Caenorhabditis elegans: one gene and its partners. The protein of the gene in region 1 purifies or fractionates together with the protein of each later gene. This does not show direct contact. Each region holds a gene or a part of one and is shown in the gene's direction. Other genes may lie near its edges. The genes, in order: shl-1, Y106G6H.14 and ncs-7.

Region 1 (9,267 bases):
ATCGATTTTACTTTTTATTAGCTTTTTCAATTGTTTTCTTACGTTGTCAGAGTGATTGTTTGCACTTCTGCAAAATATGCCTATTTAATTTACTGTTTCTTGAGAAATGTATACAGTCATTATTTCTAGCGATACTCACAATTTTATTGCATTTCCTTGTCTAGCTTCTAGTTTTAATAAATTGATTGCATAAATATTGGATATACATAAAAAGTAAATAATACAAAATCTGACGACTTGACACAATAAGACTTCGTGAAACAGTTAAAATTTGATAAATTCTAAGGAACCCCTATGATAGATAAACAACATCATGTTTTATATGCGTTTTGATACACTCAAAATGCTAAAACTGCTGGGTGCCCTAATTTTTCAGGCCTAAATTTTGAAATCTGTGCAAACACGCCACACAGTTTCATCATATTGAGTGTATGTTCCTAGAAAACTTTCAATGAGTTTATTGATTCCGGAAAATGAGAATTGCCCAAGCAAAATCTACCCCGCAAACACAAAACAAATTATTTTAAAAATTCGGAAGACTAGGCGATAGGCAGGCAGGCTCGCCTAGCCCAAATTTTACTACATAAAGTACGCCTCCGCATTTCAAATGTGGAAATCGTAACAGTTAATAGCACTATTAACGTATTTTAAGAGATTACCGTTTCACAACCATTTGAAATGATTCTACAAAACTCGTTACATACTGCATTAGTGTTTAAAACAGTGAGAACTACAGTTAGAAACAATGTATCCACAAGTGACAGTCCACTTTCAAAATATTAACGTTTCACAACTATTATGAATAGTTTTTTAAAATAGTTTTTTAATCGGTACGTATTATAGTTATTTTGATCAACTAGTTCATTCTTGATTATTCTTTCCTCTTTTTTTAAATCCAATTTAACCGAAAAAAGCACAAAAAAAATGAGGAGAGCCAGTCAACTACTGCCAAAGCAAGCATTTTTAAAGTCTAAATTAAAATTTCAACAAATCAAGTAAACAAGAAAAATTGGGTTAGGCACGCAAAATTATCCACGGGACTATCAAACACCATGCTTCACCCAAATATGTAGAAATTAGGCGTTAGGCAGGTAGGCAATGGTGTTCTTTCCTAACATGAAGTTTAATTTGACTAATTGAAGTACACATAATCAACCTTCAAAAAACTTTTCAAAAAGTTCAAAAATTTTCAAAAACAATTAAAAACCCTCCAAAACGTGATTTCAGATGAACTTCAACTTGTACTTTTTCTAAACAATTCTTCAACTTTTCCGTAACGTGCCTTTTCTTTTTTCAGCTTATTTTGCTTATTCTTTTCTTCTCTCTTTATCCAATTCAACCGAAATAAGCACAAAAAATCGAGGAAAGCAAGTCATCTCCTCTCAGGCAAAAATTGAATATCGAGTTTCATTTTCTCTCTCTCTCTCTTTCTTTTTCTTTTTTTTCTAGTCTGAAGATGTCTTCAGAAGAGGTCGACTTTTCCAATTTTGTCTATCGTTTTCTCTTTCTTTTCCTGGCATCAAGGAGCCCGCGAGCCTTTAGAGAAGAGGGCTCTTTACACACAAAATTGGATAAAATTGAAAAAGAAGAGGAAAAGTGTGAAACTGGAAATGTAACACTTCTTCCTTCCCTCCAGTTCTTTTCTCTCCTTTTCTTTCCTTCACATTTTCTTTTGTCCCACGGCTTCTTGCTTCTCGAACCGATCTCGACGTCGTCTCGCGTCGTTTACGGGTAATTTGAGCCCACACGTCGTCACCCGTTTGGAGCTCTGCGCCAAGGAAACCATCAAAATTGGAGTGGGAAAGAACCTTATGTTTTTGCAAAACGACAAAAAGTTTAAAGTTGGCTGCTGTTTCTAAAAACGTTTTTTTTTGAAACAAGTGCACTTTTGCAGTTTTTTGTGACGTGCAAGCCTTCTAGACTTCACTTTTGGCTTGAGACCACTATTCAGCTATATAGGTTATGTATTCTGAGAAAAAAACATAGTTTTTTTTGTTGTTAGGTCAGAGTTACCGTAGTTGATGTATTGCAAATGTTTGCTTAAAACAAATTATTGATTTGAAAATCTTGATTTTGAAATTGAAAATTTTCCTGTGATTTTTAAGTGAAACCGTAAGTTATATATTTTTTGGCATAGCAAACTAAAATTTCCGTTTCACAGTCATTTGAAATGATTCTACAAATTTCAACATATACTACATATGGCTCCATACTTTAAAATTCGTAATTTCTAAAAATATTTCTGAATTATCTTGAACTCGAAAACTTAGTCATCAGCCCTTTGTGTCTCCAATTTCTTTCCAGAATGTAACATTTCTGAAACCCCGGTTTTCCAATGTACCCGCATATCTCACGTCGACCGACCTACCTATGCGCCTGTATTTTTATGATATGTTATTATCCCAAAACACATACAGACTTACCCTTTTTTATTTCGATTAATTTATTTCAAACTTCAAACGAAAGCTCGATTATTTAATTTTCAAGCAACTGCTGTTGTAGACCACTTGAAATATAAGTTTTCAAAAAAATCAAACTTTCAAATTCTTCAATATATTTCCAATTCCCATAAATGATTTCTTTTCTTTTCATTAATTCGCTTCAACTTTCAAAATTATTTTCATAACTCCTGCTTTACAGCGTACCCAGCAAAATAGAAAAAATTTTCCTGAAAACGACGTCATCAGGAAAAGTGTTCAGAATCCGTCGTCGTTGTCTTCTTCAGAATGGCTTCGGTGGCGGCGTGGCTGCCGTTCGCGAGAGCCGCCGCTATCGGATGGGTTCCCATTTCGAGACAGCCCATGCCACAGGCCCCAGTTGCAATACAGGTTAGGTTTGGTGGGAATAATTTTCTAAATTTAAATATAAAGTAGTCCAAATTTGATCTGAAAAAATTGCGCCAAATATTTATTTCCCGATGTTTTTTTACACTGTGATATTTCTAAAAATTTTTGTGTGACGCCACACATCTTCATTTTTAATGAGAGACACTTAGGCAGCATTCTGTGTTTCTATTCGGTCATTTATAGACACTATAAAACAGTGGAAATTTCCACGTTCTCACAATTAGGAATTCTTGTTCGCGGAAAAGGTTCAAACATCAAAAAATACGGAATTCTTTCATAAATTCTTGTTCACACACGTGTTAGGTGGTCGATGTCTTTTGAAAATTTGGAAATTTGATACGAGTGTCATATGCAATGAGAGATTAGATCCTCTTTTTAGTTCCAGGATCCGTAGTGAGAGGGAAACTAAATATACATTTTGAACTTTGGATATGCAAAATTTTTACTGTTTCATTTATTTGGCAGATTCCTCTTTTTCATGAACTAATTTTTTGTGTTGCCTGTAGATCTCTATATGTTCACAAGCTCTCAATGTGATATTTCAGGCCAAAGACCTCGCGGTTGATCATGTCTCTGACGAAAAACTAGCAATCAACATATCAGGACGAAGGTTCGAAACGTGGAAGAACACGTTGGAAAAGTTCCCAGAGACTCTATTGGGGTCAAATGAAAAAGAGTTCTTTTATGATGAAGACACTGGGGAATACTTTTTCGATAGGGATCCGGACATATTCCGACACATTCTCACATTTTATAGAACGGGAAAATTGCATGTGAGTTGTTTGTTTTTGTTGTTTGAGCCAGTTTGAGACAAAAAATTGCAAGCATTAAAAATTAATGTTTTTTGAAACAGTTTTTTTAAAAATAAACTCTCTTCAACTTTCTAAACTTCCGCTGAAAATGTTCTTAAAATGTAGAATCATGCTTTGACATTTTTTCTATAAAAAATCAAATTTTAACCCATTCACATAGGCGCTAATGTCCCCGTCTACCAACAAAGCAGCATAGACCTGTCTCGAGCCTACAGACAAACCGCAGGCGGGCAGCAGGCAGGCGTTAAAATTAAAAATATCTGCCTACAAACTTACGCATTTGTTTTGCAATTTTTTTTTGGAAATATACAGAATTCAATTGATTGTAAAATAGATGCAATTTTTATTCAGAAAAATATTAAATCTTTTGAGCAATGCTTTTTGAGAATTTGGAGCATCGCCGGAGAATATTTTAAATTAATTATGCCTAATGGTGCTTAAATGGCCTAATAATGTAGTAAATCCTTTATAAATTCAATTTTTTTTAAAATTTTATTCAAAAGTGACGATTCCTCATTTTTTATTTATTTTAATAATGCGTTAATAAGTTTTACTCAAACACTGTATGAGTATGAACTTGTAAGACTGCTAGATATTTCTCAAAGGAAACGGAGTAATATTTTTCGAAAATAAATTTTAATTTCAAAATAAATTTTATTTTGTATTATAATTTTCAATATTATTTTTTAATAAAAAAAATCTTTGAAAAATTTAAGATTTTCGTTTGAGTATGTGGTGACTTGTTGAAATCTATTAAAATGCGCCACTTTCCATTTTTCCCAGAAATCCATATTTTCAGTATCCCCGTCATGAATGTCTTGTTGCATACGACGAAGAGCTCAGTTTCTTTGGAATAATGCCTGATTTGATATCAGATTGTTGCTATGAAGACTATAAAGATAAAAAACGAGAAAATCAAGAAAGATTACAAGAAGAACGTGTAGAAAATGCGGATATATCAACATTAAAATTGTCTCTTAAAGAGAAAATGTGGGCGGCATTCGAGAATCCGCACACAACATCAATAGCACTTGTATTTTATTATGTCATTGGATTTTTTATTGCTGTATCAGTGATGTGTAATATAGTGGAAACAATACCTTGTGGGTATGAGGATAATGTGTCTGTGACGTGTGGAGAAGCCTATGAAGAGCAATTCTTTGTTATCGATACAGCGTGTGTTATCATTTTTACGATTGAGTACTTTTTACGGTTGATTTCTGCGCCGGACCGAATCAAATTTATGAGGTACGTTTCTTTTAATATCAATATGTAAACTTCTCACACTAATAAGTTAAATATTCACTGATTTTATCAAACTCATTTGAAACAGCAATAAAATTTTGAATTTTCTAATTATCCAATTTTGACGCTTTTTGATTACCTATCGGCTTTAGAGACAATTTAATCAACCAATTATTTAATACAAAAATAAATTAGCAAAACGCAATTAGGAATAATAATCAAATAAAAACGAATTACCCAATGCTATGGGAAAGTTCGCGAAATTCAAGATTTGAGCTAAAATAATCGTAATTCTTTTCAAAATCTTGTGCCGCCAAAAAAAAATTGGAAAATTTTTTGAGAAGTCTCATTACAAAATTCAACCATTTCAGTATGACCCTCTAGCCCGTCTTTAATGCATTTTTATGATTTCAAAAGTTTTGTTCAAAATTATCAGTTCAAAAATATAGAGATGTTTCTCATAACAATCATGAAACTGTAAAATAATTAAGGACACATTTGTCAAAATTGGATAACATGTTATTTATTCGTCCTTATTTTTTTAACCATTTAAATGGTTTTCTTTTTTCAGGTCAATAATGAGTGTAATCGATGTGATTGCCATAATGCCTTACTACGTTAGTTTGGTACTAACTGACAATAAGGATGTATCCGGCTTGTTTGTCACTTTAAGAGTTTTCGTAAGTTTTTTCTTTTGTTAATCCTTAAATTGAATATCCAAATATTTTTTCGAACATTCTGATAAAAATCATTAATTCTTTGATCAAATCCTTCTAAAATTTACAGCGTGTCTTCCGAATATTCAAATTCTCACGACATTCCCAAGGTCTTCGAATTCTGGGTTACACTCTTAAATCGTGTGCAAGTGAACTTGGATTCCTTGTATTTTCACTGGCAATGGCAATTATCATATTTGCCACTATTATGTATTATGCGGAGAAAAAGGTCGACGCGACGAGATTTACCTCGATTCCGTCAGCTTTCTGGTATACAATTGTGACTGTGAGTTTTTCTTTGTAAAATTAAGAAACGGGGTTGAAATTTTGATTTTTACGTTAAATACTCTCCATAAAACCTTCAACGTTTTGCAAATACCTTATCCCAAATGCACTAGGAAAATGTAAATTTTAAAGTTAATATTTGCATTGGAAAAATTAAAAATTAAAATATTTTTTTTTTAATTATACAAATCACTGAAGACTAAAGGTGAAACCTATTCATACAACACAGTCATTGTTTTTCATAATAAAAAATTAATTTTTCTTTCAGCTAACAACTCTTGGATACGGAGACATGGTTCCATCAACAATAATGGGTAAAATAGTTGGAGGAGTATGCTCACTGTCTGGAGTGTTGGTTATTGCTCTTCCAGTTCCAGTTATTGTCAGCAATTTCTCTCGAATTTATCATCAAAATCAGAGAGCTGACAAGAGAAAAGCACAGAAGGTATGGTTTTTCGTTCAGTTGTAAAACCTTTTTAAACACTTAGTGATTTTTTTGCAAATTTGTTGGATTAAATTTAATCAATTTTCAGAAAGCCCGTCTTGCTAGAATTCGGATCGTTAAAAACGCGTCTGGACTAGCATTATTCAATAAGAAGAGAGCTCATGAAGCTCGGATGCTAGCATTTGAACAGGGTAAGTTGGTTTTTTTTTTCATTAGAACATTTCGTATTGCCGGCTTAAGTTAGTTATTATTGAGTTGTCACAAAAATATTTAACTTTGGAAATATAGAAAAGTATTCCATTTTGTTTTTCGGTCTCTTGGCATTTCTGTTGGCTCAAAAAAAGCAAATATAAAACATTAAAATTAAAAATTAATAAAAACAGTTCGTGATTCCGCTTGCTCAAGAGGGCACAAATTTTGAATCCGGTATAAAAAACAGATTCTGTGGTTTTTTTTTATTCCGTTTTTTTATATTTAATGTTTTAGGTTTTCGGTTACTTAATTTATTAGCAATGTGAAACATTAAAAAAAAATTATGTGTACAAAATTCTAGATTATAATTGAGATAACTCTAAAAAGTGCATTTTTGCAGGTCATCTCTCTTTCGATGCTCTCCGAGACGAAGATATCTTCGAAATCCAACATCATCATCTTCTTCAGTGTCTAGAAAAAGCGACGGAACGTGAATTTGTTGAATCAGAAGTGATGTTTGAAGGTGGAAGAAATACTCCTCCGCCCAGTGAAACAGCTTCATTGAAAGGAAAAACAAAGCGTAAAAGGCGATTGTGAGTTTTTGATTTTCAATCCTTTGAAGATTTATTAGTCTCTGGATTTCAGGGTAAAAAAATAAGAAAAAATTTTATACTATTCATCAATAAAATAAATTATCATCAAAAAAATTCACTGATGCTTTCTTTTCGTTAATGCATTTAAAATGGAAAATAATCATGAATGAAAATGAAAACTGTAGAAAATATTGTTGCGTTTTAAAATCCAAAATTCAAAAATATGCCTCTGCAACCCTGGCTAAGATGTCTGCTTGAATTCCCACCAAACATAGAACAAGGATATTAGGCAGCGTTGAAATACCATGTTTTCAAAAATTGTAGTTTCAATTATTTCTTGAATTTTTTTGAGTTTCTTCTTTGTCAGCAATATTTTGAGTATTTTAAATTAGAACCCCATTCGAAAAGTGAGTGTACCACGAAATGGTCTCGTTGGTGCAACTTTAGAGGGAATTCAAATAGCAAAATTGACAAAAGTGGAAAAACCTTAAATTCTTGATGTTGGATTTACTTCTTATTTTTGTCATTTTTCCTTGGTGATATTTTTGATTTTTGGATCACAATTTTGAGTTAAAACAACAAATCTCCTGAAATTTATTTTTTTTAGATGCTGTGTTTCAAAAGAAAATGAAGAAATGGAAGAGTTGGATCGAGAGACTCGTGTAACATTCAATCAGAATATGGATCAGGTATAAACTAACACCAGTTATTTGTTGAAAATTATATTATTAATTTCAGATTTGTGAATTACCAAAACCTGATGAAATGGAACTCAATCATCGAAATAATGACAAAATTTGCGTATCGCAACTGTAATCTACTTCTTTATTTTATTTTTTTAAAATGATTTCTAAAAATCATTTTCTATAGAAAATTTCTCTCATTGCTCTACCGGTTCCGTCTTTCTAGAAGCTAGTTGTTCTTTTACAAAAGTTTTCTGAAATCATCCCTCCCAACTATTCGGTTTCCCCAATCTCTCATCAACGATGCAATTTTGTTTTTTTCTGTAATTTTTACTTTTTCAAGTTAGAAACAAATATATTTCCATTGAACCCGTTTCCCGAAAAACTTCATATCGCTCTTTTTCTTTTTCAGTTCGAGGTGACTTTTCTCTAAATTTTCCCCGCTACTAGGAGCCTCTCCGATGATCTGCCCATTGGTGGCAGATGTCTTTCATTTTTTTTTTGATTTTTCAGATGGAAATATAAAATTGAAGTAAAATTAACTTTTTATGTGCAGTTTTTTTTTTTTCAATTTTCCAGGTCTGTCGATAAAGTTTTATTTATTTTCTAATTTTAGAAAACCACAAAGGGAATTACTTTTTTTTAACTTAGTGAGCTGGTTCATTTGTATCAGCTCATTGCTGAAAAAATGTAACTGTACAACATTCCGCTTCATTCCAATTGCATTTTAAACTACAAAAAACTTTATAAACAGATACATAAAATAATGCAATTATCAACAGTTTATCGTCGGGTTCCGTCCTCAAAGAAGATTCCTCCATCGATAGCACAATACTTTGGACAGATTCCCTTCTCTCCAACACTTCCTGCTTGTCCGGCTTGTCCAGCTGGTCCTGGATTTCCATCAGATCCTGGTTGTCCTGGTTGTCCAGATGGCCCCTTTGGTCCTGGTTGACCTGGTTGACCATTTTGTCCTGGAGTTCCTGGTTGTCCAGGTGGTCCTTGTGGTCCAGCCTCTCCTGGTGCACCTGGTTCTCCTGGAACAAGTGGCTCAGATGGAGCATCTTGACCTGGGTTCCCATCTTGCCCTGGTGCTCCTGGTTGTCCATTGACTCCTGGTGGTCCCTTTGGTCCTGGTTGACCTGGTTGTCCATCTTGTCCTGGACCTCCTGGCTGTCCATCAAGTCCAGCATCTCCAGCTGGTCCTGGTGGTCCTTGAACTCCTGGTGGTCCTTGTGGACACGGTTTGCATGGTGGTGGGGTAATTGGGTCACATGGAGCTTGTGGTGGACGTCCTGGATTTCCAGGAAGTCCAGCTACTCCAGGCTTTCCTGGACGACCTGGCTTTCCTGGGGTACCGACGGGTCCAGCTGGACCTGGAAGACAGCATCCAGAGCAGGATCCTCCAGCGGCCCCAGCAGATCCAGCGGCACCAGAATCTCCGTAAGAA
Region 2 (5,142 bases), on another chromosome or scaffold:
AAAACGGGAAATTGTCCGGCTGGGAAGTGATCCGAAAGAAGAACTCGAACTTTTCGCTGTATATCCACAACCAACAAACACTGAAGCAGAAACTGAAGTACGTTAAAAACAATCGTGTTAAACTGGAAAGTTTTTTTCAGGAAGCAACACTTCGAAAAATTCATTTGGAGAGAGGAGATCCTTTACCAATTCTTGAAGATATTGTTTACCAGCCAATTGATGATTTACCACTATTGTACGTAATTTCTTCTTCCTAACTCTATATACAATACATTTTTTACAGAAAAATGCTCTCTAAAAACCACGACAAAAGTTTGGAAATTATGGAAAAGTGCACGGCGAGTGCCGTCACTACCGAAGACTGATTCGATCTCGCTTGATCTCCTCATTATGATACTATTATTTGTATCGATTTTTCTCCACGGTTAAAAACTCTACTTCATTATGTTTTCCCATTGAATCACATTTCGATCTTTTCCATGCTTATTTTGAATGAATTACAAATGTCTTGAACAAATTGCTGTACATTTATAAAGCCATTCACCACGTTGGCCGAGGACAACGTGTTGGTAATCGCAAAAAGTAGAAATGATAAGCTATGAGACAAAGAAGGGTAAAAATTATTATTAAAACTGTGCATCGTAGACATGAAGACGAGTTAGGTTGTACTTTTATTGTGTTTATTATCTGAAAAATAATCATTTTATCAGAAAATTGAGATATTTATGACTCCTACTTTTTTATTTTCTGTTGGAGATCGAGTAAAATGGCGCATTCGAATACTTTGAACTGGTGGGGAGCTTGTTTTATTTATATGATACTGAGAATTAAATATATTTTTTATCTCTTTTGAAATAAAAACAACTCACATTTAAGATTTTGCAGATTTTATCTGGCTTTACACATGTGGACGGAACACATTCTGCGTCAACAGAAAGAGCATCTTTGAGCAATTTTTCTGCTTCGTTGCGAACCTGAAAAATTAAAAGATGAGAGAAACTGAATATTTTTCAGTGTTATAACGCGTTATCGCATCAATTAACTCACGTCCTGCCCATTTTCAAAAAGACGAACCACTTCTTCAGCTTTTTCAATAAATAAATCAAATTCGTCTTTTTCTTCCATTTATCTTCATTGGGTTAGGTATAAATATGATGTTATTTTGTAGAAAAACGTTTCTAACAAAGATAAAAATCTAAATTTGAAAATTCGCTTTTATGGTCGTGGCCTAGAAATTCGAACTGTGGCTGCTCTATCGCCCACGGATGTGTACTCCTCTCGAAGTATATCTGAATTAAAACGGCGCGAATATGACTCATCGTTCCTTGCCGTCTTGTCTTTATTTATTTAATTGTTTTATCTTTTTAATTAGCTATAACTTCTTAATTAAATTGGAACAGATTTTTTTCTTGCTCTACTGCATTCTTTATTTCTTAAATCCAGCAGAAACGGCCACTGCTTCCTTTTTCCCTAAAATTAGACTTTATCGAATTTGGCTCTTTTCCGTTGATTCAATTTCAATTGTTGATACATTAAACATATCTCTAATACTACAAAACATAACATATTAAAAATTAAAAATTAAAACATTACCTGTTTCAGAATGGAATCGTTTATTGATCGGATTACCGAAGAGACCGATGAAAATTTCCGCATATGTCGAGAAAATATTCCCAATTTTGAAACAAGTACGTTTACTTTTCTTCACAACTTCTCGCATTCTTCATTATCACTTCTTTCAGCAATCAGCCCTCTCTTGAATACAATGAAGAATATCAAGTTGTTACTAGATGATGCAGCTTTTGATCAACAAAAATTGGAAAACAACTGTGAAGAAACATGTATGAACTGCACCAAAAGTCAATTGAATGATTTTCTCGGAATCAAAGTTGAAGCTTCCACGATTGTCGATGTGAAATCACAATTGGTACCTCAAAGTAAAGAATCATCTGCTCTTGTCGAAACCAATGAACCGAATGAACAAGGATTATCGTCTAAACCGAAAGAAAATGATATCAGAATTGTGCCACAGATAACGGATGAAGAATTCAAAACAATTCCAAAGTATCAACTAGGCCGGTTAACGCTGGAAATGATGAATGAAATAGTGAGCAAAATGGATGATTTCCTGATGAAAAAGAGCAAAATCCTGGGGAAAACTAATAAACAGCTGACAAGGAGCGATAGGGAGGTTTTGGACAATTGGCGAGAACTTGTAAGTTTGTTTTACTTGTTTTATTGAAAATAAATCTATAATTTTTCAGGAAATGAAAGCAAGAAAGAGACTTCCAACAACGTTATTCTTCATAGAAACCGACATTCGACCAATGCTCCAAGACCGTCTTCGTCCATCATTTGCCAAAGCAATTCCGTGCCTTCGTCACATTCGTCGAATTCGAGAAGAACGATGCGGACCGTTGACTTTCTATTATCCATAAATTCCTTACGATATTTGTACATTTTTCAAACTGGTCTCAACGTATTAAATTTCTCTGTCAAATAGCTAATAAACGGATTTCTACTTCAAATGATCAAAAAAATTTATTCTTCAATTTTTACACCTTTGTTTTGGTGAATATATTCTACTTTAAAAATATTATTGTTCTGATTAGAAATATGAATTTTTCAACATTTTTAAAATTTATCAGAATGTCATCAGCTCGACCAATGGCTCCACCACCACCAGCTCCAAAGCCAGGACGAGTGAAAGTTTATCGAGCACTTTATGATTTTCAAGCCAGATCTGTAAGCTTTAATTTGAAAAAAACAACCCAATTATTGAATAAATTCAGGCTCAAGAGCTGACATTCAGTGAAGGAGATCTAATGTACGTCAGCGACGAGCAGCCGAACAAAGATTGGTTCCAAGCAAGCATCGGAGGCAAAAAAGGATTGGTTCCAGCTAATTATGGTGAATACTTACAGCACAATCAGGAATGTTTTGCAAAGCTGCGGCGCGGTTCGATGAGAAGCGTAGATTAATTCACATGGTTTTACAGTTTTTAGTTAAATTACTTGTTTTTGAACTTTTTTCGTCAGTTCATTAGTACAAAATCATTTTTAAATGGCCATGCATCAAACCGCATCTCAATTTTGCAAAACCGTCGTTCCTCCTCTTTTATAATTCGAAACTGCACCGAGTTCATCGAGATTTCTAGAAATTCCAATATTTATTTTTTCAGTGATCAGTGAGAATGTGGAAGAGCTCCCGAATCCCCTACATGAAGCTGCTCGACGTGGAAATATGGATATGCTGGCTGAATGTCTTCGAGAGCGGGTATCCGTCAACTCCCTCGATAAGTCCGGAGCTACACCACTTTACTGGGCTTCACATGGTGGACACGCGCCAGCAGTGGATACGTTGTTGAAGGATCCAAAAGTTGCAGTTTCGGTTCAGGTTTGTTGAAATATTCTTTCACATGTAACGAATCTCTAAAAATTAAATTTTCAGAACAAACTCGGTGATACGCCTCTTCATGCAGCGGCCTACAAAGGCCACGTGGAATGTGTGAGACTTCTTCTCGCTTCGTCAGCCAATCCATTTGTAAGGAATCAAGATCAAAAGCTGCCGAGTGATGTGACAAAAGTAAATATTGTTTTTTATAGAAGTTTTCTATAGAAAAAATAATTCCAGGATGCTGATATCGCTGCTCTTCTAGACAAAGCAATGAAAGAGGATCGTGTGAATGAAGAAGAGTATGCTGAATATTTGTCAGACTCGGATGCTGATTAAGACTATTAAATTTGCAATATTTATTCCTTTTGACATCTTGTAATTATTTCTCAAACACTTGTCGATATTTATTGAAACTTTGCCCAACCTGTGATAAACTTTTTTTTCCCTCTATTCTCCTTTTTCAAATACTCGTTTGAATCGAGGTTTTCTTTACTTTTAATCTTTCTATTTCAGAACTAATGCTATTCAAGTATCGTAGTTTTGCTTTTTAATGTGTGAATAGGGATTGAGAAGTCTTAAATTAAACGATTCTACGACCACCTTGAAATAGATAAGCTGGGTCTCGTCGCGAAAGTCTAGATTTCTCTAATTTTGCGGCTGAATAACGAGTAAATACAGAAACCCAAAATACAAATGTTTACTCATTCCATCAAGTTATATATAGGCATAATCGGATGGTTCACTGGTGTGATAGTCGTTGGTGTAGATGTTTGGGCTCTGAGCAGCATATTGATGATGAGAAGAGACAACATCATTCGTGTTCCATGCATATTGCGACGATTCACTTTTTGGCGGGGCAAAATATTGCTGATTGTCCATAACTGAGCTGTTCATTGTCAGTTGATTCGGGTTCTTCTCGAGCTCCGCGGCCTTCATGGTGCAATAGTCCGACACAACGTGGTTGCGTTGCTCAAAAGCGAGTTGTGAATCAACGATACGAATGATCGCGTCGCCGTCGAGTGGGACATCGGCAATGAATTGTGCCTCAAACATATCACTCTCCGATGCTGGAAGAACGTCGGCGTCGCTCTCCAAACTAGCATCCATGTAGAAGCTCTCGACGTATGCCATCTTGAGTGAGCTGCAAAATACTTATTCATTTTTTTAAATGAATATTAGATAGGAGATTCCGATTATAGTGGAATATCAAGAAGAAATAAATGTTAGAAAATAGCAGTGGCTAGAAGAATCTCCTACCAGCACATCACAAAATTTCAGTCAAAGAGTTTCAGCAGCTCTTTAGGATGTTCTAAAGAAATTCTTCTTGCCACTGATCTCAGCTACCGCTTGCCTTCACAGAATTTCCTGTTAAAGCACTTACTTGATGCGAATCGAAATGTGTTCCTAGGGTTGGACTAAAATCGAAATAATTTGATTTTCGATTTCACTTCACGGGAGGGGAGATTTTTTTTGCCAGATTAGTTTTATTGATAAGCAATTAGAATGTCACGTATGTATAATAATTACTATTTTGCTTTTGTTTCAAATTTCAACGTTAAAATATATTTAAATATCCTGTTTTCAGATGCTGGAAAACTTCTTTATTGACGTGACCATCACAAGACCTCGCATCACACCTATAAGAATGTTGAAGAGACAAATCGAATTCACATCGGATTCTATCAGATTCAGGTGTCCCGGAGGAGGAGACAAAGAGTATTACTATACACAAATGATGTACAAGCC
Region 3 (7,034 bases), on another chromosome or scaffold:
ATCATTAAAAAGTGAGTTCAAACATTTTTTTATTGCGAGAAAATTACAATTTCTATTACTAAATTTTTAGAAATCCCGTGATATTTTTGGGGCACGACATCTACGGCTATATAAAAGTATGGTGCCCGCCTAAATTTGTTTGCAGCTTGTTGTCAGCTATTCCAACAATTTTTCAAACTTATCACATCCAACTCTTCTCGCATCATTCATCACATTTATGACCAATTCTTGTTCTTCCATTTCCTTTCAACCATTAGCGTTCCGCTTTCATCGAAACAAAACACGATGCTCCTCTGATATGCATGGCTGCAACGTAGTGGGGTCAGTCCCTCAACCATCAAAATATTTGTAGAAAACGAGAGCTTGAGGTGGTCCCGCCGCCGCCCCCGACTATGACATGGGCATCTTTATTACTTTATTGGGGGGGCATAGTCACCTTGAATGGCATTTCTTTGAGTCATTTTTGAAAGCTTCTTGTTGATTTTTTATTTATTCTTTGCACAATGACGTGTATATTGTTGCAGACAATGGTCATAAAAGCACCAGAAGATCCGTTTGAATACTTCAGTTTGGGTGAGTTGTTTTTCCAAAGTTTTCAGAGAACAAGTTAAATAAAAGTTAGACATCACCATGGAAATATGCACGGATAGCAATTTAATTTCTTTTTTGGCTGGGAAAACGAACGAATACTCACTTTTTCCTTAGTATTGGCAGAACTTTTTTCAAGAGAACATTTAATCTTGTTTAAATCCCCTGATTCCGTATATCTATGTGAAATAATTCAAAAAAAAAATTTCTTTGACTTTATTATATTTGAGCTTGAAATCGCGATTTTTATTTGTGCACACACGAGATTTTTCAAATGCGCGCCGAAATAAATTATCCTTGGAGCGCGTTTGCCTCATTTGATTTTCTTCATATATTTTTACTTCTTTCAGTTTGTCAGCTATTTTCATTCATTTTTATGCGAATAAAATGTTCAAATGGCACGAAACAATATATTTTTAAAAAAGTAAATCCGATAATATACGACAAAAATGATTTAAAATAGCTGAAAAACTGCAATACGTAAAAATATATGGAGACAACTAAATGAGGCAAACGCGCTCCAAGGATAATTTATTTCGGCGCGGATTTAAAAAAGCTCATGGGGACGCAAATGAAAATCGCGATTTCAAGCTCAAATATAAAATCAGGGAATTTTTTTGAATTTTTCACATAGATATTCGGAATCAGGGAAAAACTTGGAGTCATTTAAAAATATTTCCCAGATTTCGCTAGTCCGCCTTTAAAGACTACATTAAAAAACAATTTTTTCATTTCTACCTCATCTCAGGAGTTTGTACCTGTGATCAAATATTTCAAAAATTGAGAAATGTACTTCCACCCTATAACTACAAATATGAATGCTGGATCTTGTATTCCTCAAATATATTTTTCAAAATAAAAACCTCCGCCCATTTGTTGGTTCATTTTTTAAAGACTTATTTTTAAATGGAAATGTGAGAAATGTATAAAACTCAAAATTTAAACCGTTTCTTAGCAAATTAGGCTGAAATAGAGAAGTGACCATGCTAAAATTTTTGAAAATCGCCGAATATGCCGGAATTGAATACATTATGCACTCGGCAAATTTTCGGCAACTTTTATTTTTGGCTTATTCCATTTAGTTGAAATCGAAAATGTTTTTTTTACAAAAGTAAGAAGTTTTCTGACGGTCCGAATCACTTTTTTATAGGATATAGTAAATAGAGTAGTACTCTTTGTACACAAATTGAATGTATCAAATTTATTGTATAGAAAGTATTGGTACACAATTAATTACGTCGAACCAAGTATTTCAAAATATTTTTTATTATACGTGAAATGTCCCGTTAATAATTCAGACAAACACGTAGATTTCCGCAAAATACTGATGTGTGATTGATAAGCATGGGCCGACAAGTTCCAGGCTCCGCGTCGTACCACATAAGTTCGACCATGAAGTGGGCGTGGCGCCCGTCCACCTCAAGGCTAAGCATTATAATACGAAACCCAGTTGTTGACGGACAATACTTATTCGCAACACCTTTAATATTGAGATTTCAGGCCACATTTTTACTATTGTCAGTGTATCTCAGTATTTAAGTTTTAACAAAATTTGTTCGAAGACACATTCAATTTTTCCGATTTCAATTTTCTTCTTTTTCCAAAAAAGTCATTTTCCACCACTAGAAAACCACTACGATTCCGTTTCCAACATAATGAAGGGGTGAGAGAGCGAAGCTCTGGAACAATAGTCGGCGACACAATGACATGGTGTAGTGGTGATTCAGTTGAGCAAGGGGGTCCCCCCGCTGCTACGACATCTCATTCAAGTCACTGAGATGAATTTCCAATGTCTATGAAATGTGAAGAGTGACGATGGCGTTTACTCCCTCCCCGACCATCGCCACTAGGCACCAGACTTAGTCTTCTTCTCGTTCGACAGCTTCCTTCCCCTCCATCCCCTTCATTTTTTGTGTTAACTTAGACTCTAGACTCCACTCAACATTTTCGTTTTATTGTTCTTCTCTTCTTCTCTCGAACCAAACCCATAAGCTTTTCAAATTTCGTTAGTCTTACATCTCTACTCTCTACTCCACTTATTCTTCATCCTGTCGTTCATTTATCAAGTAAAGTTTCGATTATGATCGGCACCGCCTCATGTACCAGACCACTGCATCAAGCGTTGATCCCGTTAGCGATCAGTGTTCCACCTGCTGCACTTTTTATAAGCGGGAAGACGGGACGGGCTGAGAGTAAGTTTCGGCCTCTTTAAAAAACATTTTTTTTTGGTAAGCGTAATTAAATAATGCTTGCTAAAATCTTTCCTTGGTTTTTTGTGTTACGGTTGTCTTTGACTTTAGGGTTGTTAACAACAGTTAGTGATGGCGAGAAATCAACCAAAAACGTTACTACTAAAATTTGGCAATCGATCCTTCAACGGCGTTTTTTGGCAGAAAATGACGGGGCTGTGAGCCTTTTTGCTGATTCTTTTTGCATTTAGCATTCGGAATGTTCATCTATGTTTCATTTATAAAGCTTTAAACATTTAAAAGTGGAACAACGTCGTACGCTTGTAAACTCCGCCAGCCTCTGCGGAACAAAAAAGTCCAAGGATCGATTGATAAATTTCGAGAGTATGCTTCATCTTGAGCCGCCATAAGCAAGACTTGAAAAATAAATGCGACCTAGAGTTAGTTCACACTTTTGCCAGTTTTACAAATAAAATGGGTTTACCAGTCCATTATTCTGTTAAGCAATTAATTTATTCATATGTTCATTATGAAGAAAGATATGCGTGATCAAAAGATTTATTGGCTAAATATGGCAAAAACCCTGATTTTCAACCGCTTGTATGTATATACTACAGCGACCGGGAATTGGTTTAAACATAAGAACTTCTTTAATGTTTGTATTCTGGTAGGTTACGTTGTATGTATATTTAAATGCATTGTTGTTTTGTTGGTTACCTACCGACTAAAGATGTACATACAAATATTGAAAAAATAAGCACAAATACAATCGAAACGAGCTGAATGAGTTGTTAAATGAATAAAATTATGTTCCCGCCAATGAACCAATTGGAATCACCATGAAATTTTTATTTTGAAAAATCTAGTTAAGAAATTCTGTCTTTATAAGTATGTATATAAAGACATTACATCTAATCTAAACCTTTAGAATTTGCACATTTGAAGTATGTGAAAAAAATCAGCTTCAATTGACTAAATGTATATATTTACGCACGGTTTCTTTTATAACAAAAAATAATACTTAAACTGACAATGGGTGCATTTTTCACAAATCACATCGGTTAAAAAGTTGTCTAAATTGGAAAGTTTATTGACGAATGGTTTTTAATTCGGCTTTTTTTCAGACAGGAACATAAGAATATAGTCTCACTGTTCCATAATTTACTACTGAATGAAATAAAGAAAACAAAACAAATGTTTTGCAGTGGAAGAAGAATTGGACACACAGCCTGCAATAGAAAGGCAAACACCGCCAAGCATCGATTACTTGATTGAAATCACTAATTTTTCCAAACGGGAGATTCAACAATTGTATAGATCGTTCAAGGAGGTGAGTATGAAAATAGGATCGAATTTGTCAATTTGTATAAAATCAACTATTCACTTCTGATGTAGAGCAAAAAATATTTGTTTTGAGAAAACAGCGTATTGGCCAATTTTAAACATCCGTTTTCAATAGTTTCACTTTCTTTGTATTTTCCCAGTTTTCCATATGCGCACTTTCGATTTCAAAGTTTCATGTCATAATGCTCAAAAATTCATAGCTGTACTAAAAGCTTTTACTGCTCGCGTCACAATGACCATACATTAAAGTTTGATAGTCCTTCGAAGTTTACTTCGAATTGTAGTTTTGGTGTGAATAATATCGGGAAATTTTTTTTTTACTAAATATGGGTTCAAAAAATATTGAATACACCTAGTTTCTGAAACTGATAATTTGAAAAGTTGTGACTGAGATTTTTATTTCCATTTTTTGCAGTTATGGCCAATTGGAACTGTCGACTTAGAGCAATTTCAGTTAATTTATGCGAGTATATTTCCAAATGGAGACTCAAAAGGTTACGCGGAACTTGTCTTCAAAAATATTGATCAAAACCGAGTGGGTACTGTGACTTTTTTGGTATGTTTGTTTCGGAGTCTTATTCACAGTTTTAACAAGTACTTTTAAAAAAAGCGAACATATACTTTAAAGGATTTCATCACAAACTACTCCAAAATTGCAAAAGGGACACTTGACGAACGACTCGACTGGATATTCACTCTCTATGACACCAATCGATGCGGTTTCCTAGCTTACAACGAGATTTTCCATGTTGTGAAGTGGGTTTTTATTTCCTTTCTCTTATTTGTGTGCAAAAGTGCATTGTTTCCTCAGATCGATGTATCAGATGATGGACTCGTCACTGAAGCCAGCTGTTCTTGCGACCATATGTCGGCAACATGTTAAAATTGTGTTCAAGGTAATGTTTATGACGGAACTTGAAATGTTTCTGATCAACATGAATGAGAGAGAAAATGGGATGTTAAGAATTTTTATTATAGATACATTAGGCTTATAGTTACTTCTTGAAAGTTGAAAATTGATATACATTGAAAAAAAACGAAACACTTTGTTGTGTGTACTGGGTTGGGCTTGAAATGGGCAATTCGGAATTCCACGGTGAAAAGGATGTGTTTCTACACTTGCTGTTTTTTCAAAAACTTAGGAACATGCTAAAAAATTGTAATACCTAACAAACTTTTGACTTTTTTTAGAACCTCAACATTGCAAATAACGGAAAAGTTTCCAAAGCCGAATTTCTTCAACGATGCCGTTCCGATTCAGACATTTTAGCATCGATGGAGTTGTTTGGCTCATTCTCAAGCGGATTATTAAATATCTAGCCTTTCCTGATATTTTGTTTGTATTTTTTTGTTATCACCCACGTTTCCTTATTATCTATCAGCAACATTACCAAACCTCTTTCCTTCTCCTTCGTTGTGAATCTCATAATCATTTCTATGAAATTGTGAATATTGCCTATCGAAAAGTAAAAGTTCAAAAGTTAGTGTATGTAGCCGGAAAACATCAAAATTTTAACATCACTGTTATCGAAATTTTTCTACTCCCAAAGTTAAACTTCCCTATTGGAAATGGTGGGCTTATATTTAAAAAAAAACAAATTTCAATTCAATATCTATTTTGGATACTATTATACACGAAAAATGTATTGGAAATAGCTTTTTGGCTACGTTTACAAAAGGATAACTTTTTGTGAAACTGAAAATCATTCTAGTGGGATTTATTTTTAGATTAAGTTAATAAGAAATAGAAGTGGATCTGGAAAATGGCAGGAAATGTTTGTAAGCATAAAATTCTTAACCTTTCAAGCCGGCAACGACCAGATTAATTTTTTGGCAATCATGTATTTTGCAGTGAAAAAAAAACAAGTTTGTGGTTTAGTTGAGAAAAGTGGCGAACTGAAAAAAATATAATTTCTTGTTCCCATTTTTTTGTTTTATTTATTAGACCGTTCAATAAGTTTTGTCGTTTTTTTTTTGTTTTGATTTTTTCTTGGATATTTTTTTGCGGTTGTATAGAAGACTGTTAGTAATGACAAGCCCAACGATATCAGCCATATCGGTCAACTTCCAGGTTATTTAATACTGCGAACTATGACAACGAAAAAAAAAATTTTTTTCGATTTTTTTTATTTCCTCATGAAATCAAAAACTTTGTATGCGTAGATGTATTAGATAGTTAGTTAAATAAAACTGAAAATTTTCAGACTCAGGCATGGCTTATTGGTAGCGCTACATCTGTTGAAAGTGCCTAAAACGCTTGCAAAATTGCCTTTTTAATTTTTGAGCGGTGCTAACTTTAAATCCATAAGAGATATACAAAAGTAATGTATTACAACAATAATGTGCACATTATAAGCTACAATTGGTCAGTTTAGTGCAACGTTGGATCTCCTCACGTTTCTGAATTACAGTCGATAGAAGTGAGCTGGGTCCAATTTGGTAAAAATCTAATTTTTCATGTTATTGCCTGTAACTCCAAAACCAGGTGTCTGATCAAAAATCTTTAAATCAAAAAATAAGTGCTTTTCAATTATTAACAAGTTATTAGTTGACCGTTTTGTTATATCTCATGTGTGCGCAAAGATATGAATCGTAAAACAAAAGTTGCGGAAATTTCGGAAAAATTTCAAAAACATCGAGAAAAAATATTCAAAAATATTTTTTGAAAGATAACTTCTAATGGTTTTTTGATTATAATAGCCTAATTGATAATCAAAATATTACATGTGTTTTTAGACGCCCATGTTGATTTCGAGAAGAATAAAATTGCTTTTGGCAATATTTTTCAAAATTTTCTGATCATGCATTTTTTTGCTCTTTTACTTTTCATATCTTTGTGCACATATGAGATATAACAACGGTCAACTGAATACCTGTAAATAATTAAAAAACACTTATTTTTTAATTTAAAGA

The links.
Region 2: the proteins of shl-1 (region 1) and Y106G6H.14 fractionate together in Caenorhabditis elegans (co-fractionation; one large-scale study listed by BioGRID). This does not show direct contact.
Region 3: the proteins of shl-1 (region 1) and ncs-7 purify together in Caenorhabditis elegans (affinity purification with western blotting, with the first as the bait; one study listed by BioGRID). This does not show direct contact.

The regions. Positions count from the first base shown.
Region 1 is NC_003282.8:6,377,442-6,386,708, reverse strand, and holds shl-1 (BTB domain-containing protein), read left to right. Parts: upstream 1-2,638; 5' UTR 2,639-2,726; coding exon 2,727-2,828; intron 2,829-3,391; coding exon 3,392-3,619; intron 3,620-4,457; coding exon 4,458-4,906; intron 4,907-4,923; exon of another isoform or gene 4,924-4,944; intron 4,945-5,314; exon of another isoform or gene 5,315-5,335; intron 5,336-5,474; coding exon 5,475-5,583; intron 5,584-5,689; coding exon 5,690-5,905; intron 5,906-6,172; coding exon 6,173-6,349; intron 6,350-6,437; coding exon 6,438-6,540; intron 6,541-6,805; exon of another isoform or gene 6,806-6,826; intron 6,827-6,941; coding exon 6,942-7,134; intron 7,135-7,741; coding exon 7,742-7,823; intron 7,824-7,872; coding exon 7,873-7,950; 3' UTR 7,951-8,424; downstream 8,425-9,267. Other genes in the region: bli-6 (Nematode cuticle collagen N-terminal domain-containing protein), read right to left, coding at 8,601-9,267.
Region 2 is NC_003279.8:10,470,896-10,476,037, reverse strand, and holds Y106G6H.14 (Osteoclast-stimulating factor 1), read left to right. Parts: upstream 1-2,648; 5' UTR 2,649-2,649; coding exon 2,650-2,745; intron 2,746-2,792; coding exon 2,793-2,910; intron 2,911-3,181; coding exon 3,182-3,396; intron 3,397-3,450; coding exon 3,451-3,585; intron 3,586-3,633; coding exon 3,634-3,732; 3' UTR 3,733-3,842; downstream 3,843-5,142. Other genes in the region: row-1 (C2H2-type domain-containing protein), read left to right, coding at 1-97, 141-235, 284-365; Y106G6H.16 (Dynein light chain), read right to left, coding at 541-687, 737-820, 870-974, 1,048-1,125; ska-1 (SKA complex subunit 1), read left to right, coding at 1,604-1,688, 1,743-2,215, 2,265-2,438; Y106G6H.13 (Reverse transcriptase domain-containing protein), read right to left, coding at 4,111-4,527; duo-3 (ubiquitinyl hydrolase 1), read left to right, coding at 4,982-5,142.
Region 3 is NC_003284.9:17,614,018-17,621,051, forward strand, and holds ncs-7 (EF-hand domain-containing protein), read left to right. Parts: upstream 1-2,325; 5' UTR 2,326-2,668; coding exon 2,669-2,780; intron 2,781-3,982; coding exon 3,983-4,107; intron 4,108-4,536; coding exon 4,537-4,677; intron 4,678-4,749; coding exon 4,750-4,877; intron 4,878-4,932; coding exon 4,933-5,017; intron 5,018-5,312; coding exon 5,313-5,441; 3' UTR 5,442-5,604; downstream 5,605-7,034.